Regions from separate parts of the Mus musculus genome. Here region 1 is reported to be linked to region 2. Evidence: microRNA targets listed by miRTarBase, many of them from high-throughput screens and not tested one by one. Region 2 holds a microRNA gene; the other region holds the end of a gene's coding sequence.

Region 1 (4,385 bases), not on the chromosome of region 2:
GGAAATGACTGGGATATAGCCTCACATTACCCAAAAAATGAATAGATGCCACATGTTCAATATCTAATATCTGTAGCTACTTCTTGCCTTGCCAGGAGGGTCCCTGGCTCACACGCAGTGAGATGATGTCATTCACGGCTGATTTTATCAAGGAGCAAGAAACACGAATAAGACAAAGACCAGGCCATTATTGTTCAAACAGTAATGTTTAGTTGTACAACAGAGGCTAGCAACATCTACATGACCAGTCTGAGTGTCTGTTTGGCTTGTTTTCAATTGGGAAACTAAACTGGAATATCACCAAAAACGTCGGCTGGGACTAACAACGTTTTTAAAATGGGCCATTCTTGCATCCCCGAGGCTTGGGCCTCTTGTTCCTTCAGGACTTGTAGATGAATGGCCCACAAGTCACCAGCCTTTGAGCAAGTTGTGTCCAGGTGGAGATGGCAGGTGGGGTGGCTGAGGGAGGGTTCTAGAAAGACACAGTGTATGGGGCAGTGGCAGCCGTTCGTTCGCAAACATTCATGCATCTGATGGGGGCTTTGCCCTCCATTTGGGTATTTTCCATTAGCCTATAGCGACCACCTGTGGTCAGGCTAATGCATTGCTCACATTAACAGGGTGGGGGATGGGAGTAGGAATAGTCAGGGGAGGTGGGAAGAGATCCCTCTTATTGCTAAATGTATAAAAGGGTGCTATTTTTCTTCCTAGAGTGTATAGCTGGTGGGTTTGGGGTAGTCCATATGTGTGTTAAATTCCCTTTCTTTTAAAGTTTGGGGATAATTAAGTCAACTCCAGCAACCTCTTTTCAGCAAAACCCACTTCCCAGATGGCCATATTTTGGGGTAAACAGGTTGTCTACACACATACTCACTGGGCCAGCCACCAGTGGTGATTTTTTTTTTTAAGTGACACTAGCCTCTGGCTCCCCACCATGTATAATGAATCACCCTTATAAAATACCTTTAAGCAATGAAGGAGACACCCTTGTCCCACACAGGGGCTCACACGGCTGACCTCAGTGACTCTGACAAGCAGGAAAGTTGCTTTCTTGACCGGTTAAGGTAGCCAAGAAAGTACTCATGCAGAATGAATGGCTAGAGAGCAATGCCGGTTCCCTTGGAGACAGTTACAAGTCGCTGGTATGCGCTTGCAAGGGCAGGAGCAGCTTCCCATGAGTTCCTCCTCCCTACACAAGGACTGGGGTGCTGCTGACACAGATGATGGAGCAGGGTGGTGCTGGCAGGAACTCCATTCCATTGGGAGGAGAGGAGTAGTTTGGCTAAACAGAGGAAGCAACTGTCCTAAAGCCGCAGCTAGCCCCTCCCACCTACTGAGGGCTGAGAGGGGCTGTGCTGGTGGGCTAGACAAGCACAGCGCTAAAAGGGGCGTGGCCCTGCAGCAATAACAGCTGGGAGGGATGAGGGAGAAGCAGCACTTGAAATGGCCTTCATTCAGCAGTGGGGCAGGGGGTGGCTGGTACAGGTGGAAGGACAGTGCCCAGGAGGCCTTCTCCCTGCAGGGGGAGTTGAGAACGGTTGAGGGTGTGGAGACCGGCAGCCGGCAGCAGACACATAAAACAGCTTCTCCAGGGAGAGTGAGACCACAGCTTAGTGGAGACAGGCAGCATTCTCCTACTTAGACTCTCCAACACCCACCATTCTTATCCCTTGCTGGCCCTAGGTGCCCAATCCCATGTCACCATACAGGGCAGCTCACTAGAGCTGTCAGCGAGCTCTATGTTGCTACCACTCTAGCCTGACAGCTGGCCACTCTTTAGTGACGTTATAGATGAGGACTAGAGACAGAGCAGTCTCCAGGAAAGGCTAAGACCATAGGATTAGGACCACTTCTGCTTGGTCCACTGAATTGTGGGTCTTCCATCTCTTTTTGTTTTTTGTTTGTCTGTGTGTTTGTTTTCCTAGTGACTGGGTAATAAAGGGCTGAAGTCAGTGAAGACCAGTTCTACACCCAGGCTGGACCGGGAGGTGGCATAGTGGATAGATCAGTTCTAAACAGAATTTTGTGGTATCTTCCCTTTCCTATGGCTAAATGGCTTTCCTTAAAGCAGCCTTAGAAACTGTAGGGAAAAAAAAAAAACTTGAATGTGCAAGGAGCAGTTAAAGTATGCATTAATAAATACAAGGCTCCTGAGAAGGCAAGAGAAGGCTAAATGTATGGCTGTGGGTATTCCTGGGAACATCTACAGGATTGGATGGTGAGAGAATGCAGGGAGGGGAGAAGCCGAGAAAGACAGACAGACAAATGAGAACAGAGAAAGAGTGAGTTGGGTTTGTAAGAAACAAAGCCACAGAGAAGCCAGCTTAACATGGACAGAAGGCTGCTAGAAAACGGGAAACTGTGTTAGTTTGTCTCACAAGTCCAGCCGCCTAAGAAACTCTGTATATTTTTTCCGATTCTTCAGAATTAGTTTGTGAATATAATTTCCTCCACCTAAAGTTTGCCTCATTTGCCCAATAGATGTGCTTCTTGAACAGAACACCCAGAGCAGCCCAAGCTACCAAATTCTCCCATTTCCCCAGGCTATTCCCAAGTCAGAGCAAATTTCAGTGGTCAGCTGCAGAAACTGGCTTTCCTAGTCATCTTCTCTATAACTGAATTCTCTTGCAATCTCGGCATGCCCTGCCCCATGCTTTTACTTAGGATCTTATTCTTTTAAGGGTTTTTTTTTTTTTTATCTTATGCGTATGAGTGCTTGTCTATGTGTATGTATGTACACCATGCTCATAGAGGCTAAAAGAGGGTGTCAGGTCCTCTGGAACTGGAGTCACAGATAACTGTAAGCTACCAAGAAGGTGCTGGGAACTGAACCTGGGTCCTCTGCAAGAGCAAAAGGTCCCCCGAAGCACAGAGCCATCTCTTCAGCCCCTAGCTGTGATTCTATCTTAGGGTAATAGAAAGTCAATTTAGAAAGTCTGGGCATGATTTCTAAATATAGAAAGGAAGCTAACATAGATGACTCTAAAAGGAGATAAAAGGTCAGAGACAGGCAGGAAATGGGGTGAATGCATGAATATATATGAAGAAAGGAGGCAAAGGACGCTGGGGAGGGAGAAGAGAAATCAGGACGAGGAAGCAACCAACCAGCCTGGAAATACAGGGAAGGCGGGCACAGAAAGCAGTGGTTTGCAGCGGTGATGATCCGCTGTTTGACAGTGACCCCAACATAGACACAAGGGTGGAGCTCCATTTTCAGACACCAATTCTGCAGGAGCCCCTCAGCTTTCTTCTCTGCTCCCCACGAATCTTCTGTTTCCCCAAGAAGTCCTAGCCTTCCTCCAGATTACCTCAACTTACAGTGAAAAGTTGTTCTGAGCTCCCACAGCCCACCACAGGCTAGCTCAGCCACCAGTCCATGAAGAATACTTGCAGCCCCAGTTTGTGGGTGGGTCAGAAGTAAGAAAGAGTTGCCTGTGGCTCACCTGCTCCCAGCATTATAAATTAAAACCTTCCCCAGACCTCTTGAGTGAGGCGCACAGCTTTTTGTTCTGGAGCACAAGAAAAAAGGAGACAGAATGGAGAGTCATGGAGAAAGCAGACTTACAAAGGACTTTCCAAAGAGGGCAATGAAAATACCTCACCCCTGAGTACACGCATACATACACACACATGCATACACACACACAGGCACTCTCCATCACACACACATACACGCAGGCACTCTCCATCACACACATACACACATACATACACACACACACACACACACACACACACACACACACACACACACTAGACAAAATACTGCACAAATACCAGACAGGCCTGGGGGACAGAGCTGAGAGGAGGTGGTGGCTGGAGGTGGTATCTAGGATGTGTGTGTGTTTGGAGAAGGGGGATATGTATGATAACACAGAGAAGGGCTCATCACGGGTTACTGTCGTGGCTTTCCTCTGTGTCCACGCTCACCGGAGGGAGGCCTCCATTGTCATTGAGCCTCTTGGCCCTGTAAGTCTCATAGTGGATGTTGTGTGTTACTTCTTTGAGGTCCTGGAGGTGAGTCCTGAAGGGACACAGAGTAAAAAAAGAGAAGCAGATATGATTAGGGATCAGAAGAGGAAAAGGTGGTCCACCTCAGAGGCTAACACATCTCCTCAGTAGACTGGACCCAATGACTGGGACCCACCCTTGAGGACCAATGTCAATTTTACAACCCCTCTGAGATGCACTGGGATAGAGAGCTCTGTTAGAGAGGGCAGACATTCAGGAAGTGAATCTGGGCAGATGGCCTTTGATCATAAATAATTAAATGTGCCAGCTGGGTGAGTGTGGGGGCGTATCGTACCTGATGACGAAGTCTCGGAGCAGGGCAAACTCACAGTGGTTGAGGTTTTCCACTACAGATAAAACAGAAGGAAACGGGT
Region 2 (4,385 bases):
CTAAACATAGTGTGGACTATGATCAGACCCTCTCCTCCCTATCTACCACCCTTAATCGTCTGTATGTTCCAGAAATGCAGAATTGGAAGTGTTTAGAAAGATGGGGGGGAGGGCACTGAAGAAGCTAACCAGTTTCATTTTGAGATAGGGTCTTACAGCTGGGCAGTGGTGGCGCACACCTTTAATCCCAGCACTCGGGAGGAAGAGGCAGGCAGATTTCTGAAGTTCGAGGCCAGCCTGGTCTACAGAGAGTTCCAGGACAGCCAGGGCTACACAGAGAAACCCTGTCTCGAAAAACCAAAAACTAAAAAAAAAGAAAAAAAAAAGAAAAAAAAAGATAGGGTCTTATAAAGCCCTGGAACTCAATGTGAGGCCTTGAACAGAGATCTGCCTGCCTCTCTGCCTGGCAAATGTTGGGATTAAAGGCATGCGCCACCATGCCTTCACTTTGTAGCTTCTTGTCGCCTTTGTTGCACAATGTGTCCTTCTTCTGAAGTGTCTCCACCCACACGCAAAGGCCTTTCTACATGGCTCATCCCTGCTGCACTTCATCCCACACGGTGAACGCACTAAAGCTTTATTACAAAAGGAGTTGACTGCTAGAGGTGGCCCTCCAGTCTTTCTCTGTGTCCTCTTCGGTCCCAATATACACCTCCAGGGGAGGTCAGGGTCCGCTGTAGAAGAGGTGTCTAGGAAAGTGAAATATGCTAATATTTTTTCCAAAGTTCCTCCAAATCTTTCTCAGTGCTGTTGACCATCTTCTGGTAGAAGAGGCAGGGATTTTAGCTCTTATCTTCAAGATCCTCCATAGCTACGTCCTGGGGAGCTTTTATCTTCTTTTGTTGCTTGGGCTGTGGCTGACTAGTCCTGGTTGACTTGGAGGGGGCTTCCACTGAACAAAAGGAAAGGAAAAAGAAAGCATTAAAGATAAAACCCAGGGGCTGGTGAGATGGCTCAGTGGTTAAGAGCGCCGACTGCTCTTCCAAAGGTCCTGAGTTCAAATCCCAACAACCATATGCTGGCTCACAACCATCCATAACAAAAATCTGATGCCCTCTTCTGGAGTGTCTGAAGACAGCTACAGTGCACACACTGTAAATAAATAAATAAATAAATAAATCCTAAAAAAAAAAAAAAAAAAAAGATAAAACCCAGGTAAAATCCAGACTTCTTGTTGTGTAGCCTCTGTGCCCAAGACTTACCTTCCATGGCTGCTTTTTCTTTCTGGGCAAGTCGGATCTGCTGCAAGAGTTTCCTGCGCTTCTTCCCAGACAGCGTGATGTTGGCACGAGCACTGGACCTGAGTGACAGGAAACAAAAAATATCCAGGTTCATTTGTACCAAACTGAGCCTCAAAAATGACCCCAGCTAAGAAAAGGTCTCACTCTGTAGACCAGGCTAGCCAACAGGCAACCTTTCTGTCTTAGTCTCCTGGCACTGGAATTTAAATGGGAGCATCATTGCCCAGTTTTTGTTTTATAAGGTCTCTGCATTCAAATTACTGAATGGGCTCTGGTGTCCTCAGGGAACTCTTTAACACTTAAGACTTTTTAACAATTTGACTTCAATATGTACCTCAATAGTATTAAGTCAGTAAGTTCTGAGTTCGAGGCCAGCCTGGTCTACAGGGTGAGTTCCAGGACAGCCAGGGCGACACAAAGAAACCCTGTCTTGAAAAAAAAAAAAAAAAAAAAATCCAGTGAGCAGCTGGGGGGTGGTGGGGGTGGTGAAGGACTTTAATCCCAGAACTTGGGAGGCAGAGGTAAGTGGATCTCTTAGTTAGAGGCCAGCCTGGTCAACACAGAAAGTTCCAGAACAGCCAGAGCTACAGAGAAACCCTGCTTGAAAACCCGAGACAAAACAATCAACAACAGCATCAGAATCCTGTGAGCAATGATACCATAAGAGGCTAGTAGTTTGGAAACTAACATAACTCTCAACTAGTTGCTGCATAAACGTGAAAGAGAACAAGAAATTTGGAGACCTCTGGGATGCTCTGAAACCTGGTAGGAAGTGGGTAGGAATGTCCAACCGGAGGATAATACTGTACGTACGCCCGCTTCTTGAGGTGGTGCTTCGTAGTCAGCCCTTCGTCTATCACAGCCCCGACCACCTGGCGTTTCCGTCGCCGATCCCTGCTTAATACCCTGCGGCGCTTGAACAACTTCTTCTTCAGCTCCTGCGGAAGAAAAAGATGCGCATGTAAGGTTCTGCACACCCACCCGGGATCCTCCGCACCTAACAACCCCAGCCCCTAACTAATCCTGTTTCCAAAGAGGAAAATGCCGGGAAGCAAAGGGAAACAAAGACGCAGTTCCCACTCCCACAGTTCAGTCACCGTCCGGGGACGATTGATCTTTCCTCCCGGAGGTGCCATGGCTACACTCCGCGGCTCATTCCAAAAGCCGCACTTCCGCTCCGCTCACAGGTTCCGCCACACGCAAAAGACCCCGCCCTCTGATGCCTCCGAACCAATCGCAGCTTGGAGGCGGGCACCAGGGGTATATAAGGTTGTTCCGCGCGTTGCGGGGCCTTTCCAAGGGTGGTTTTCACGTGAGTCTTGATTTTGTCTTTATATGCGAGGGAACTACTGGGAACTGGGCCTGACTTTGTAGATCCTCCTTTTCTTGGCGGGGACCGGGCGTGCGGTCCCGCTCCCCGTAATGTACGGAGGTAGAAGAAAGGGCTCTGGCCCTCTCGGCGTTATGTCTTCGGTGCTTGCGGCTTCCCGTTCGCGGGTTCTATCCTCAGACGCCGGAACACTTAACCGTGCAGAAATGTAGCTAGGTCCCGCAGTCCCCTCTGGGTTACTCAACGCTTTTTATTTTATTTTAGGTCGACATTGACGCTCCCGGAGTGATGGTTAACATTTTCTTTGCTGTTTATTATTGAATCAATAAAGTCTGTGAACCCTAAGGACCCTGTGTTCGCTACCTTTTTTTTCTGCGACTCGTAATTTGCAAATCTTTAGGACCGAAAGCACATGTTGGGAGTGATAGTGACTATTCACTAAAGATCTCTGGTCGATCTTGTGGGGGGACTTAATAAGCTAAATCTCAACCAGGATGTAAATCTTTATGAGTATAGAAAGTGCGCTCCTAAAGGCATGGGAATCAAACCTGTAGTTATGGTAAAAAGCCTAGCGTAATGGTGCGCACGTGTAATCAGCAGAACTAACCTGGGGTAGCATGCACCCTTATCTTCAAGCTTCCTGGCATTTAAACTGGCGGTAGGCACAGCTTTCTCACTAAGATATTGGAAGTAAAACTAGGATCTCAATCCTCCACAGGCATGCCCTGTGGATGTTCTCGGGGTGGACTTGTCTCCGTGCTGGGACCTACATAAACAGCCTTATACAAGGAGGCCATTGCCATTCCCAGTGCAGAATCTGGGAGCCCTAGCATCCTTAGGTTCCTCACAGCTCTCCAGGGATAATTGTTGCTAAGCGAGATTTGCCTGAGGATTCAAGGACCCTCCTTTTCAGCTGCCCTACTAGAAGTAAGAAAAAAAAAATCCAATGGCTGGACTGGGTATAAAAATTAAGCCCTAAACCGGGCAATGGTGGCCCACACATTTAATCCCAGCACTTGGCAGGCAGTGACAGGCAGATTTCTGAGTTCAAGGCCGGCCTGGTCTACAGCGTGAGTTCCAGGACAGCCAGGGTGATACAGAGAAACCTTGTCTCGAAAGACCAAAGAATAAAAGTTAAGGCCTTATAAGACATTCAGTTAAATCTCAAAAGATTTCTGAGAGTTTCCATTCTGCTTTTGTTGGTCAAACATAGAGTTGGAATTTTGCCATTGTATGAATAGCTAGTAATTGAGAGTGTTTTCCTGGTTTGCACAATTTGTGTCCTGGTTCATAAACCTGGAGCCTGAGGGTAATACTGGGTTACCAGGTGGGGAGACCTGACATCATTACTGGCTGGGCTCAATCTGAACTGCAGAGCTGGTGTGAATTGTGTGTCCTGCAGCTTAGAGTAAGCCAAAGAGCTTTGAAAACAATAATAATGGAGATGAAATTGGAGGAAAAAAAAAAACACCAATACTTACCCCCAAAAGTACTGAGAGGTGGGAAATGGGGATATTCCATAAATCGTGTTCTATAGATGCAGGACCCTGTTGGGTCCCAAAGAGGACAGAGATTGGGAGTTTCCTGACCCTCTGTATCTTCAGGAATCCAGAAGGCATCTTGTTCTTGACCCCAGCCAAGTCCAGGGTTTATTGTTCTTAAAGGAGATGTGGGATCCTGTGGGATCCAGGCCCAACCTGGGAGAAGAGTAAATATTCTTGATATGCTGTGTCTTTAATTGATTTGAGACAAGGTCTCTCCATGTAGCCTTGGCTGGTCTTTAACATGTAACAGGACAAGCTGGCTACCATGCC

The links. Region 2 holds the annotated microRNA mmu-miR-5136 (AUAUGCGAGGGAACUACUGG, at 2,575-2,594, shown strand). A microRNA usually pairs through its seed, bases 2 to 8, with sites in the 3' UTR of a target mRNA and lowers its output. Matches are read on the target gene's strand: a 7mer-m8 pairs with bases 2 to 8, a 7mer-A1 pairs with bases 2 to 7 and ends in A, and an 8mer does both.
Region 1: miRTarBase lists Septin3 as a target of mmu-miR-5136. Seed matches in the 3' UTR shown: 7mer-A1 at 2,701-2,707.

What each region holds. Positions count from the first base shown.
Region 1 is chr15:82,290,377-82,294,761 of GRCm38, reverse strand. Septin3 (septin 3) reads right to left here. Exons shown (of 12, transcript NM_001368785.1): 10 at 4,307-4,358; 11 at 3,931-4,024; 12 at 188-3,509. The coding sequence ends at 3,456. Among named protein-coding and RNA genes, the nearest start is that of Wbp2nl, 6.4 kb to the left of the region's middle.
Region 2 is chr19:8,886,918-8,891,302 of GRCm38, reverse strand. Mir5136 (microRNA 5136) reads left to right here and starts at 2,529; the gene lies at 2,529-2,604. Lbhd1 (LBH domain containing 1) reads right to left here. Exons shown (of 6, transcript NM_001286103.1): 3 at 4,053-4,268; 4 at 2,055-2,179; 5 at 1,203-1,300; 6 at 544-892. The coding sequence ends at 862. It overlaps 1810009A15Rik (RIKEN cDNA 1810009A15 gene), which reads right to left and starts at 2,420. Exons shown (of 4, transcript NM_025463.3): 1 at 2,339-2,420; 2 at 2,055-2,179; 3 at 1,203-1,300; 4 at 544-892. The coding sequence starts at 2,377. The coding sequence ends at 783. 5730408K05Rik (RIKEN cDNA 5730408K05 gene) reads left to right here and starts at 2,533. Exons shown (of 1, transcript NR_027866.1): 1 at 2,533-2,916. It also overlaps Snora57.